Tamandua tetradactyla: one gene and its partner. The protein of the gene in region 2 interacts with the protein of the main gene of each other region in a biochemical or structural test. Links are inferred from orthologs where the notes say so. Each region holds a gene or a part of one and is shown on either strand. Other genes may lie near its edges.

Region 1 (7,757 bases), on a different chromosome or scaffold from region 2:
AGTCAATCACAAAGCTATAGCACAGTAAAATAAGTACTATCACCGAGGTATGCACAAAGTACTTTAGAAGCACAGTGGGAGGGAAAGAGAGAGATAAGGAGGAACAATTTTCAAATTTATACATGCCTGGAGCATTCAAGGAAGGCTCCAGAGAGTAAATCATCTTTGAGTTGGGTCTTGAAATAGTAGGAGCCTCCAGATAAAGTTAAGGAAGGGGCTCTGCAGACTGGGGCTCAGTGATGTAGGTAAGGCCAAGTAAGGGAGTGGTACAGGGAACTGGGCATAGGTGAGGGAATAAGGAATGAGTAGGACTGCCAAGCACAAACCCATAGCTGTAATGTGGAAATATAAAGCTTTTGTTTCCCAGTGGATGGGAAAAAGGGAGAGAGGAAGTTGGGAGGTTCTTACACATAGGTCCCTGCCACTTCCTCAATCAGGCCATGTGGCTCCAGCCCCAAAGCCAGAGATTCACAGTTGTGATCTATTTTCCCTAAACCATTAGATTTTTTAAAGTCCCTTTGCAGGGGTTTAGGATTATGAAAAATGTAATTCTAATTGGGTGGAGAGGATTAGAGTCTCTAATGTTTTCTTCATTCGGAGATGAAGTTGATTCTGTCTTGGAAATATTTCTATTGCCTTAGGGAATTAGAAATAGGGCAGGGAACATAAGAGGGCAGACAAATTCAGGCCTTGCAGCAATCTCACAATTGGAAGTTAAGATGCTGGTTAAAGTGTGGGTCTGTGCCTTCTTTTTTCAAATTTGTATTGATGTATCAACATAAAATTCACAAAAATATATATTCACAAAACCTTTGTCTTCTCATTCCTGTCACCAACAGTTTACTGCATCATACCCATATACATTTCAATGTGTTTAAATAAAAAAATACAATCTTTTTAACTTTTTAATTTTATAATCATTTCCATGTAAATGTTTTAAAGTTATTAAATTTTTATATTTTCATTTAAGTGTTTCATTAAAATTTTTTTAAGCTTCTCATCCTTTTTGTTTACATATTTAAAGTTTTCATGTAAATCTCTCTAATTGGACTTGTCTAAGATTCTTTATATTTTTTGCAAATTCTCTATTTTCTCTAATTTTTCCTTTTTTAAAATGTATTGAATTTTTAAAATAAATTTTGTCTAACTTTGCTTTGAATTGTTCTAAAGTTTCCTGGTTTAAAACTTTTCTGTAAACTTAATATTGAATTTTCTTTCCATTCCTTATTTAGTGTAAATTAATTTCTTAATTACACAAATATTAATTTTGTTAACCTTTAGTTTTTCAATACATACTTTATACTTTAATTTAAAGGTATTCCTCTACATTGCATTTTCTTTCATTTTAAACTTTAACTCTTAAGCTTTGCATTCTAATATTTTCCTTTTTTTATCTTTGTAATTTTAAAAATTGATCCTTTCACCTTACCTTTTTTCAAAGTTTTAGTTTTTATTCTTTTTCCTTTCCTTTCCTTTTTCATTTTCCATTTTTAAATTTTAAGATTTCCTAACTTTTTGCTTATAAAACTGATTTGAATAATTTTTGAGCCTTTTTAAAATTAAAATCATTTTTAATCTTTAAAACATTTACTTTCAAAATATTTAACTTAATGTTTTCTTTAAAGTTTTAAAAAATGTTTTTTTTTCTTTTTAAAATGTTTTACTTCCTTAAAGCTTTTAAATTTTTCTTTTAAAATATTCTCTTTATTTTCCAAACTATTTGACTGGTCAGACACTGCTGGAACATTAACAGAAATTATTTGCTGATGAAGGAATACCCCTTTACTTCCCACAATATTTCTGTAGTAGTGTTAGAACATCTCTATTCCCATTCTCTACCTAGAGCATTCTTTTCATGTAACTGTGCTCATATGTGACCAATTTCAACCTATTCCCCCTTTCTTTAAGGCTGAATGGTCACTGGTTAGGATTAATTTGTTTTCTCCTACAGATTCTTGGGCCATGGTAATAAAATACGTCCTTTATATCAAGGTATGAGTTGTCACATATGTGTTGTGGTCATTGTCCATTCCAGGTAGGTTTGTGTGTCACTTCAGGATCCATACCTATTCATTCATTTTACTATTTTCTTGCAAATTATGAGACTAGTCTTTCTCTAGGCTCTGTTTGTGATAGAACAGTAAATATCCTTCACTGTAAAGTAAGTCTTCAATGGTAGCTTTGGTGATGATGGCATCATCACAGCTGAACCACTGGTCCTTTTGTTGCCGGATAAAGCTAGTATAGTGCCCACTTTCCAAAGTTCCATGGTGATTAATCACTGCAAACAAGGAATACTTATTCTCATTGGGCAAACAGTCTGTTGCTGGCTGGCCTTTCATTCTGCTCTCTTTAGTGGAGGCCAAAAATGGAGTCATGTCCAGCTCCAAGGGAAAGGAGATAAAAGTATTAATCTTTCGTCTCTGTTTACCTACATGTTCAAACCGTTTGAGATGAAAACAGGCCACAGCAGGTAATTTCTTCATTGTGAGCTGTTTGGTAGATTCTTGGTAGCTTTGACAACTACTGCATTTGATTTTGGCACTGCTTCCTAGGTGCTCTGGTCTTGTAAACCACTGTAGGCAGTCTGTGAGAGAGGGGATTCCTGGTATGTGATCATCCCTTCTTACTGCGCTGTCAGCCTTCTCTGGGCTCTGGGAAGTGAATGTGGCACAAGAACCAGGCAAGTCCAAACTGATGTCCCAGCATGGGTCAATTGTAGTGGAGATGCTGTGGCAGGTTTGACATGTGACGTCTGACTGGAGGCCACCTGTGAAGATTTGGTCAATGATACAGTTACAACAGTTGGGGTTATTGGCTTCTTGTGCAACACTATCATCTTTGCTGTGTCTATGCAGCACATCTAATATTGCAATAAGGAACTCATGGGCATCCTGTTGCCTGTACCCTGCTAAATGTTCTGCATGAATCCATATCAGGTGCAATAACTTATAGGGAATATGAGGAGTTCGGCTCCCAGAGTACATAGCCTGAAAAAGTGAAGACATTTCACAGACCAGACACAAGCCGGGGCTTGTCATTATACATTTGTGCTTGTCAGAGAGGAAGAAATCTTTCAATAGAGGAATGTGGGTAAGTGCCTGGACAACACAGTTCATAAAGCAGGTATTTCCAAGATTGATTAGCCCCCTCAGACCTACAGTATAAACTGACTTTTTTCTCCTCTTTTTCTTGGGTTTCACAAATTTTGGCTCCTGTTCCTTTGACTCACAGGTTGATTGCTTCTCTTTAACACCTGATGTCATATACTGTTGTTGAGAAACGTCTGTTGAGGTGGAAGTTAGTAACTTCAAATTTTTTTCTTTTGTATCTTTGGCAATCCGTTCTATGTCCTTGTCATATACATAATCCTTACATATAAAGCAATATATAACTCCATGATAGAGGTCGATAGCTAAATTGTGCTGTTTTGTTTCTGCATGTTTGTGAATATGTTTTTCAGCAAAGCAGCCAAAAAAGACACAGGAGAGACAAGAGTGGAGCCTGTTCATATGGGTACTACATACACGACAGATGCACGACTTTGCTTTACGTTTCCTAGTCTCCGGGGTCCCGCTCCAAACGAAACGCTGGTAGATCAACCGCAGGTTCTTCTGCCAGTTCTTAACCACTTTAAAACTCTCTACATGACAACATCCTATAGGACCCTTATCAAACTCCATCTCCAGCAACCAGCCCCCTGAGCCATCTCGATCCCCAGAGCTGCCTAGCTCACCAGAACAGCCTCGCCATATCTGCGGCACGGACCTGGGTTGTGATCTCCGCCTGGATCTGCGCCCCAGCCAGGGTGGGGGCGGGAGCGAAGGCAGGGGGAGGGGCGGTAGCAGGGGACGGACTGGAGGCGGGGGAGGGTCTGAGGGCCTGGAAGGGCCTCGGGAGCGTGCCCAGGGCTGGGGCCGAGGGCGGGGCTTGCGGCGTGGGCAAACCGGCGAGGCGCTGCTATGACAGCGAGGGTGGATTGTAAAGAGCACCTTCTCCTCGCCGTCACCGCTCCGTGTCAAGTTCTCGTCAGGATCAGGCTTATGCTCTTGTAATGATTCCAGCTTGCTCTTCTCAGCTCCCTGGCCAGAACATGCCTTCGCCACCCTTACTGCCTCCTCCTCCATTCCCCCCGCCTTTTCAGCCACCTCAAGCAAAGCTCCACCTCCAGCTTCCAAGCTCGGGAGGACCGCTGAACCGGAGGACATGGAAACTTCTGGTATCTGGGCCATCACCTCACCGCCCCGCCTAAGGAGATGGACGTCTGGATTCGAGCTGCGATTGTAGCTGGAATGAGACAGGGACTTCTATGAGTGACATGCCTAGCATCAAGGCCGCGGTGCTCAGTTTATGCTCCAGGGACCCCTTCCATCCGCCTTCGAGCTCAGCCCGATGCAGCTGCGGGCTCCACCCCCTCCACTCTGACTGGCTCCGGGAACTGGGGTGGATACGGAGGAAGTTACCTGGTTTAAAGGCGATCAGATCCTGCGGCGGGACTCAGCCTGAGCTTTTGGGAGGAGAAACATGGAAACTTCTTTTTAAAAAGGCGTCACCCTCTAACTGCGTTCTCTGCGCCTCGTGCAGCCTCACTTTCATACAGCTTCCTCTGACGTTCTTTCCTTATATACTAAAAAACAAAATGCAAAAATAGAAATCACACACACACACACACTCACATTTGAGTTAACATTTTACCTTAAAAATGGCTGAAAGGGAGTCACTTGGAAAATGGGCACAGGAGAAGAAAGCTTCTCCCTGCTCTTATCTTAACTATGCTTCTGGGGCCGGTGTGTTCCACCTTTCGTCCCTGCACACAGGCGCGCACTGTCTTTGAGTCGGTCAGCCACACTCCTACGTCTTCTTAGGCTCTTTCCCTCTTCTGCTCCCTCTCACACCCTCTCTCTTGCTTCAGCGCCCTCCTTTCCTGCGGTTCCGCCTGTAATCCTGGTTCCTTCTCACGCCCTCCCAGCATTAACCAACCCCATAGCCACCCCTTCTTTAAGTGCGCGACCCCTGAAAAATCCGCTCTCCTCGCCCCCGCCACACACGCAGCCCAGCTATTTGTTTAAAGGTCTGGATTACCGTGGACCCCAGGCGTGTGATACAGAGCATCAGCAGTTGCTGCTGACCGACCACTCCTCAGCCAGCCTCTCCTGGCCTTATCCTCAGGGCTGGTCACAAGAGGGCCGCCCCTTGGCCCCTCCCCTCTCCACGTGTGGCCCCTAGCCCTGGATCCTGCCCTCCGGCAGTGATGAATGGCGCCGCTGTCCCGTGAAAGCAGACAAACCCTCACTCTGCTTAAGGTAACAAGGGTGACAGAATAACGAGAAAGCCCCTGGAATGGAGGTTCGGGCCTCACCTGATTCCAGGCCCAGGATCACCAGGGAAAAGATTCCGTGGGATAGGGGTGGGTGATTGCTGGGAAGACAGCTAGCTCCCCAAGCCTGAATCCTTCAGGGAACTATCAGAATCTAGTCTGTAGAAGTAAGTAGAGAAGGAGAGATGTTACCCTGGAGTGTGAAGGAGAGGAAACATAAGCATGGGCTTCAGGTTCAAATACACCTGAGTTAGGCACTTGTTAGCTGTGTGACCTCAGATAAAAATGAACTGCCCTGCACCTTAATTGTGTCATCTGTAAAACAAACCAAAAAAATGATAATTATAGTACTAACCTGTGAAGAACACTAAGTCAGTGTTCTGGTTAGCTCCCTGGGGAAATGCAATATACCAGAAATGGAATGGCTTTTAAAAAGGGGGAATTTATGGGCGGGCCATGGTGGCTTTGTGGCAGAATTCTTGCCTGCCATGCTTGAGACCTGCTTTGATTCCTGGTGCCTGCCCATGCAAAAATAAATAAATAAAAATAAAAATTTTTAAAAAGGGGGAATTTAATAAGTTGCGAGTTAACAGTTTTTAAGGCTGAGAAAATGTCCCAATTAAAACAGGTCTATAGAAATGTCCAATCTAAGGCATCCAGGGAAAGATACCTTGATTCAAGAAGGCTAATGAAGTTCCAGGTTTCTTTCTCAAGTGGAAAGGCGCATGGCAAACACCATCAGGATTTCTCTCTCATCTGGAAAGGCACATGGCGAACACAGTGGCTGGCTGGTGGACTCTCTGCTTCTAGTGGCTGTGTCCTTCTTTTTTGCTCTCTCTGTATCTCCTGGCTTTCTCTCTCATCGTTCGCTGTCGTGTCTTTCTCATGGCTCTGTCATTCTTCTCTGTTCTCTCTGAATCTCCTCCTTTCTCCAAAATGTTTCCTCTTTTATAGGATTCCAGTAAAGTAATCAAGACCAGCCTAGAACGGATGGAGACTCCACCTAATCCAGTTTAACAACCACTCTTGATTGACTCACATCTCAAGAGAGATGATCTAATTACAGTTTCAAACATACAGTTCTGATTAGGGATTAGAAGAAACGGCTGCTTTTACAAAATGGGATTAGGATTAAAACATGGCTTTTCTAGGGCACAGACATCCTTTCAAACTGGCACACATATTATATGTAAAAAGAGTTTTACTTTCACAAGTCTCTCAGCACCCATCCTGCATATATGTATATACTATAACTATACATACAACAATGAAAAAGAAATCGATTGTCTATTTCCAAGCCCTCTTAAAGTTATTACTTAGTTAACCTGATCACCCCAACTAAGCAGATCATATACATGGCAATGCATTCAACAAAAGTACAACAGTCCCTTAATTGTACAACTGCACAAGGTTGTGGTGTGAGAAACAGTAAGTAAAAGGACTTCTGTCCTCAAGGAGTTGATTGCCCAAGAGAATTTTCCTTCCTTTTCAAAATTAGAGGATCCAAGACACAACCCCCATAGAGTTGTTATCTCCAGGGCTTGTTGCAATTCCTATCCTATCTGAAGAATAGACTATTAAGAATGTTCAATGCTACATTCAAAGTGTCTAGGAAAGTCATGTCTCTTCTCTCTAAAACTCAGAAATAGGATGAACTAGAACTCTAAGGCATAGAAGTGTCATCAAGTAGATTCTTTTCCACAAAAGATGTATAAAGATTTTAGGAACAAGGACTAACCTATTTGATTTTTCTGACTGAGTGCAGGACTCACATGACCTTGGAGAGAAGCATGCCCCTAAATTTTCTCCCCCACACCAAATATAAGCTGAGAAGCTCAAGTAAGAATCAACGTTCTTTGATAAATTTGATTGCAGGAGTGATTGCATGGGAATTCAGAGAACTGTGTTTTTATAATTATTCCCACCATTTCCAGCTGTGTTATAGCCTTGGAGGAGCTACTCCTCACATCTAAGTCTCAGTTTACCCAAATAAAAAAAGAGCTGCTTTAATTTGGCTGTTCTTTGCTAGCTAAGAAACACCAAGACCTCTAAAATCATGGCAATGCAGCAAAAAGCCCGAGTACACTTCAAATCCACAGATACCTGGTCCACAGGTCAGCCAGACACTGTGTAGCTGAGTGGAAAAGATGCTGGCACTCTCATGGTTCTAACTGGAGGGCCCCAACAAGGGAGGGAAGGCTTATTCTTTCCATGCTGGAATTTTCCATCACTCTGTACACAGTAGAGATCCCTTGAAATTTAGGTGGCCTTTGGCACATTAATTTGTCTTCCTCTGGAGTTTTCATAGCACTTTCAGTGTGAAAAAAAAGAAAAAAGATGCAAAGTTTTGACCTCATGGAATTTTGGATGTGTTTACATATTAAGGATTTATGCAACATGCACCAGGGGTTGAAGGACGACACAAAAGGCGGCAGTGGGG
Region 2 (6,514 bases):
GATAAGGGTGCTTTCTTGGTGTTTATATTTCAGAAAAATGGCCCCCAGCCCTTGAGAAAGACATTCCTGGCTTGTAAAGAAGGCAAAGGCTTATTTAGCTTGTAGAAGATTTACATACTCCTTAAAGGGACAGAGATTGGTCAATTACAAGTTTTCTAAAGAACGTTGCACCAAGGAAAATAATATAGATATGTTTTTCTTTATTCAGTGTGTATTAACTTCATAATAGCATTTATATAATGATGGAACTAACAAACTGATCTAACCAGTCACGGCTGATTGAACTTCATCCACCCTGGAGAACTGGAGAGCCCCACCTGCCTATTCCTAACAATCTCCGAAGCATATCAAACATTTAACTGCAGACGTGTAACCACAAAATACATTGTTCCTTTGTTTTTTTATATTCTTGGTTTTAATAAGCCCTGTTCTATAAATATGCCACTCTCCCTCCCCTTAGCACAACTCTTGGTTCAGTCAGTCCTCCAGACTTGACTGTTCCTCAGGCCATCCCTCTCAAGCTCTCTAATAAAACTTGCCATGATCTGTTAAGGTCTGTCCCGTTCCTTCTTTTCGAGCAGTCTCCTCTTCTACACTCCTTCACTTTCCTTTCATATAACGTTTGTATATCTGGGTGTATAGATTTGCATTAAGTAAAATTTCTGGAAAGCTGTTCACCAAAATATGTAGGAAATAGAATTTCGATTGATTTTTATTTGCATTTATATGTCATGTGTGTGTTTCAATGAAGGGCAGGTATTTTTCCAGGAAATCTTTGAAAACCTCAGACATATATCATGTATATTATTTAATGGAAATGAAAAGCACATCTGGTATTTCTGGGAGACAATTCTGCTGAAGATAATATTGAGAAAATCTATGCCCTCTCACCTGCCATGAGGGGGTGGAGTATTTCTTTCTTCGCAACCTTCTCCCCTCCTTCCCCAAATCTTATCCCCACCTTTCCCAAATCTTGAACTTACTCAGGGCCTCCTCCCATCTGTCTCTTTGCAGGCCTTTCTTCTGTTTTCCTAATTCCCAGTCAACCTCTCGCCAAATCAACATTCTCCTGAACCCCCTCCACCTATTTCCAGGCACTCACAGCTCAGCCAAGGGCAATTCCTCCTCTCTGGCCCCTGAGGAGTCGGATCTTATCTTCAGGTCATCTTTTTTGGATAGATAGCTCACCACTCCCCAATGCAGAACCCTAGAGCACAGGCATCAGACTTTCTTCTTTTTTTTAATTCCCCATTCACTTATAAGGACCAGTAAGGTGGCCTTAAAATGGCAAAAAAGGTCTAGTTTTCAGGCTTCGGAGACCCATGTTTTGGTCTAGGCTTCTTAACTAAGTAAAGCATCAAATATTCTCTTCTAATTTGAAGAAAAAAGGAAAAGAGAAAGGGATACAACCGATGGACGGACAGAAGAAAAGGAGAGAGGAAGGAGATAAATTCTGAATGACAAGATAGGGAGATAATAATCCCTCCTCAAGAGATCACTTTGAAGATGTTAAAAAATACTACTCAGGTCTCACTGCTACAGGGGAAAAACCTAAAGAACAATGATTCTTAAACTCAGCCTGTTTGCTAGTAATTGAGGAGCAAAGGGTTCCGACGACATGGTTATAATGTTAAAAAAAAATTAACAATTATAAGACAAAGGTATCTTTCGCGATGACCTGTTGCAAAGTCCTTCTCATATTGCTGGCTGGTGACATCTTAGGAATCTAAGACAAGGTAATTTTTATTTTCCTCTAAAATAGATAAGTTTGAGAAATTTTGCTTTTTCTTCCAAAAGCACTGCCGTATTTTACCCAAATAAAGTGCTGACTAAAATTAAGATATCTTTGTTTCTTTTCAATAGGCAGTCACGAATCTTTTTTCTCAGCCTGCATTCAAGGAGGTGGCGCCAGAAAGCGCGGGAAATTCAAATCCCCCCCACACACCCCCAGGATTCAAGCCATCATCCCCGCCCCATTTTGCTGGCAAGGCCGAAACAGCGTATGCCCCAGTAAAACTGACCGAGGTTTCTAATATGCAAGAAAAATCTAAAAGGCTTTTTGTTGCCATCGGTGACCAATTATAGCACGATTAGAACAACCTCATCTCATAGCACTCCAAAACAGCTCGAACATGTCACAGGCGGCCAGAAACGGCTCCAGTACTCGCACACACCACCCAACCCCCAGGAAGACTATACGGCCAACTATGGCTCTCAATTTCCTTATGCTGAAATTCCTAGCTGCTCCGTAACCCACACCCACAGAAAATTAAAGAATTCCCCCCAGCACATTTGAGCAGAAATATAGGAATTTACCTAATCCTGGGGCTTACACGCGGTAAGTACAGAGATGTAAAACACCGCAATCTTGCGGTGTGCGCAAATGGGCGTTAGAACAAACCTCACCTCCCCGCCAGCTTCAAATTATCACGGAAATAATTTCCTAGAAAAACTAGCTTGACAGTTTTGTTGGTGCCGCAATTACAACTCTCTCTGGAAAAAGTGGGTGGCTCTGAAAAGAGCCTTTGGAGTAGGAGGCACATATACAGGTGTTTACTTGGAACTAGTGTACTTGGTGACGGCCTTGGTGCCCTCGGACACGGCGTGCTTGGCCAGCTCCCCGGGAAGCAGCAGGCGCACAGCCGTCTGGATCTCCCTGGAGGTGATGGTCGAGCGCTTGTTGTAATGCGCCAGGCGCGATGCCTCGCCCGCGATGCGCTCGAAAATGTCGTTGACGAACGAGTTCATGATGCCCATGGCCTTGGACGAGATGCCGGTGTCGGGGTGGACCTGCTTCAGCACCTTGTACACATAGATGGAATAGCTCTCTTTGCGGCTGCGTTTACGTTTCTTACCATCTTTCTTCTGGGCCTTAGTTATAGCCTTCTTTGAACCCTTCTTAGGAGCTGGAGCAGATTTGGAAGGTTCAGGCATTGTTATTTCTTAAAAGCTACTCGCAAAAACAATTACGATCTCCACAACTAAAAATAGTGGAACTATAGCAGCTCAATTATTTATAGTTGCTTTATGTAAATGAGGGTTGAAGAACACTTACTGCTGATTGGATAAAAATAGCACACTTCCCGAAAGGGAGGTGTTTATGCAAATAAAGGATTCACATTTTCTTTTCCTATTGGACAAATACTACAGAACCATTTCGGCCAATAGGGTAGCTTAAAGTCTGAAACCTTCCATTGCCTATAAAAAGCTTTTTTTTTAGTAGCATACTTAGTTTTCCGCTTTGCGCGTTGGCTAGCTGTTGCACTTAATAAGTTCAGAATGTCTGGACGCGGTAAACAAGGAGGTAAAGTTCGTGCTAAGGCGAAGACTCGCTCATCGAGAGCGGGTCTGCAGTTCCCAGTGGGCCGTGTGCACCGCCTGCTCCGCAAGGGCAACTATGCCGAGCGAGTCGGGGCCGGAGCCCCTGTGTATCTGGCAGCGGTGCTGGAGTACCTGACCGCCGAGATCCTGGAGTTGGCAGGCAACGCGGCCCGCGATAACAAGAAGACCCGCATCATCCCCCGCCACCTGCAGCTGGCTATCCGCAACGACGAGGAACTCAACAAGCTGCTGGGCAAGGTAACCATCGCGCAGGGCGGCGTCCTGCCCAACATCCAGGCAGTACTACTGCCCAAGAAGACCGAGAGCCACCACAAGGCTAAAGGCAAATAAAAGCCCAGCTCAACAAGGTTACTTCAGGCTTATTTTAACAAAGGCTCTTTTCAGAGCCAACCACATTCTCACGAGAAAAGCTTGTAACTGTAGAGTTGTTTTTATTGTGTAAAGATCGATCTGGGCTTTGGAAAAACAGCCTTACTGGGATGTCCTTTAAGTGCTGAATACGTGTAACAGGAATTTTGTTCAGCAACTGGGTTGCGGCGAGGTTAATAAACTTTCAGTTAACAGTCAAGCACGAATTACAACCCATTTTTACACAGCACACAAAAGCAACTCTCCGCTATAGAACACCTGTCTGGGCGCTTTACTCTCTGTAAGTACTGCACCCGGATACCCTGCTTATATACGTCAAAGATAGAAACACCCAGGAGGTAAATGTAACCGCAGTTAGAATGAAGGAGAGACAATCCAGGCACTTTGAGGTATAGTTAAAAAAACAAAAGAAACAATAATGAAATTGTACTGGGAATGCACAACAAGCAGCATTGATATAACCAGTAGATTATATGCAGAATGTTAGGACAACCCGATTTACTGAATTCACATTTTAAACTAGATCTAGGTCTCTCCTTATATACATTATAGTTGGAGACAGGCTGAACTAGAACTTCCTAAAATTCTCAGATCTCTGAAAGTAAACAAAAGGGTAGAGGATCCGGAAGTAGAGTAATTCATTAAGAGTTCCCAGCAAATAGCCAATCATTACAATCCCTCATCAGCCAATGGCTATCTCGCGCGGGATTTTTGAAAATTCAGAAAGCCAATCAAATTGGTTCTGACTATATTTAAAATCAACCTCACCGCCAAACTCAACATTGGTATCTGTTGTGCCCAGCCTTTGTAGATGGCTCGCACTAAGCAGACGGCCCGCAAGTCCACGGGCGGCAAAGCACCGCGCAAGCAGCTGGCCACTAAGGCGGCTCGCAAGAGCGCGCCGGCCACGGGCGGCGTGAAGAAGCCGCACCGCTACCGGCCCGGTACCGTGGCGCTGCGCGAGATCCGCCGCTACCAGAAGTCCACCGAGCTGCTGATCCGCAAGCTGCCGTTTCAGCGGCTGGTGCGCGAAATCGCGCAGGATTTCAAGACCGACCTGCGCTTCCAGAGCTCGGCGGTGATGGCGCTGCAGGAGGCGTGCGAGGCCTACCTGGTAGGACTCTTCGAGGACACCAACCTGTGCGCCATCCACGCCAAGCGCGTCACCATCATGCCCAAGGACATCCAGCTCGCTCGCCGCATTCGCGGGGAGAGGGCGTAAGCTAAACCTTTCTCATTTGACAACGGCTCTTTTCAGAGCCACCCATAGATTCACTTAAAAGTAGTTGTACTCGTCTTTAGGTAACGATTTTCTTGCAATTTTGCCTTGCCTCCAGCGAAATTGACAATAGAGTTGAACTTGGTATATCTGCCTCATTCCCTGGTTATAGCTCGGTGTGAAGTGGATAGGGTGAGTTAATGTGTAAGGCTTTGGGGATCCCCTCCTTTCTGAAGGAATGGGTCAGGATAATTGAATACATTTGTATTCAGCTCAGAGCAAGTGTTCTCTTTACTTCGGTTGGGTCACTATCACAAAACAGATTGGAGATTAGGTACTTGGATTACAGGTAATTAAAATGGATGTCAAATTTGAAAATACATTCCAGATTTTAATGTGCTAAAAACATCTTAGAATTTCATTAAGCTTTTTATTTTAAAGTGATAGTTTTGTATTACAGTGGGTTAAAACATTACAATGAACTACACTTCCGTTTACTTTTTGTTAATGTGCTTTCTAGGAAGCTTAAAATTAAATACAGGCTTTCATTGTGTTTCTGAGGGGCAATGCTTGTATATAAAAGATAATACTGACTGGCAGATCAGAAGCATGAGTAACTGACCTTGAGCATTTCCCTCAAGTCTCCAAGCCTCAGTGCTGTGACAAGAATGTATTTGAAAATAACCGTAGAGTGCTCACACTTGAGAGCTCTCAGGGCCTCATCTTTGCTGTTGCCATGGTGCCCTAAATCCCTGTTCTCTTAAATTTCTCTAGTGAAGTAATCTTGTCCTGCACTGAATTTGTTCATCTCTGGCATAGATTTAAACTACAAAGACATCTACACTTCCCTCAGACATAGCAGAAGGACCTGGGGCCTTGCCTGAGGAGATAAGAGGGCATTTCATTCTCAGTCATTAGAGCACTATGTATGTACAAAAAGGAAATTTTGGAATATGTTACAAATAACCCTTAATTTGTATTGCTGACACTTCTATCATACACGGTCCGTTTCCAGCATTTTCACAATCAAATAATTCAGTGAACAATTTAGTTTATGCAGCATTCATGGCCATTTTTTACTTCTTTAGGGTTTAGGTATAATTATTGGAGTATACTATTGCTGTTGTCCATACTGTTTTATGTAAGTTAAAACTTGCAAGTGATCAATATGAATATTAAAAGTATAGGTTTCATAAACTAAAAAAATTGATACAAGCATCTTTTTGTTTGTTTGTTTTTAGGTGCACATTTCACAGTGGCTCATTGTATCAAAGCCAGCCAGTTTATTAAGAAAAGTATGAGAGAATGGAACATGAAAAAAATTGAAGAGACATAATGTTGAAAATCGTATATAAAGCCTATGTAAAATCAAAGATTTTCTTAATAATTTCTGAGTTTCTATGAATGAACTCTCCCTTCACTAGATAACAGTGTACACATGCAGACCTAAATATAGTGAGGAATGCATTTCATTTGAAGGTAAGGGACATGCTATACAAATATGTTTGCAGAAGACATTTAACGGTAAAATTAATTGAAAGTATAGAAACCCAATAAATTGAAACCCCAAAGGCATTCATAAAA

What was found. The genes of interacting proteins can lie anywhere in the genome.
Region 1: the proteins of histone H2B type 1-B (region 2) and USP51 form a complex in vitro, tested with the Homo sapiens proteins (2 studies listed by BioGRID, with this or other methods). The link is inferred for Tamandua tetradactyla from reciprocal best matches to the Homo sapiens genes H2BC3 and USP51.

Annotation. Positions count from the first base shown.
Region 1 is NC_135353.1:113,251,444-113,259,200, forward strand, and holds USP51 (ubiquitin carboxyl-terminal hydrolase 51), read right to left. Parts: upstream 5,186-7,757; 5' UTR 5,083-5,185; intron 4,628-5,082; 5' UTR 4,464-4,627; intron 4,288-4,463; 5' UTR 4,233-4,287; coding exon 2,106-4,232; 3' UTR 1,703-2,105; downstream 1-1,702.
Region 2 is NC_135351.1:29,337,967-29,344,480, forward strand, and holds histone H2B type 1-B, read right to left. Parts: upstream 3,007-6,514; 5' UTR 2,935-3,006; coding exon 2,554-2,934; 3' UTR 2,501-2,553; downstream 1-2,500. Other genes in the region: histone H2A type 1-like, read left to right, coding at 3,280-3,672; histone H3.1, read left to right, coding at 4,523-4,933. UniProt on the Homo sapiens protein: Core component of nucleosome. Nucleosomes wrap and compact DNA into chromatin, limiting DNA accessibility to the cellular machineries which require DNA as a template.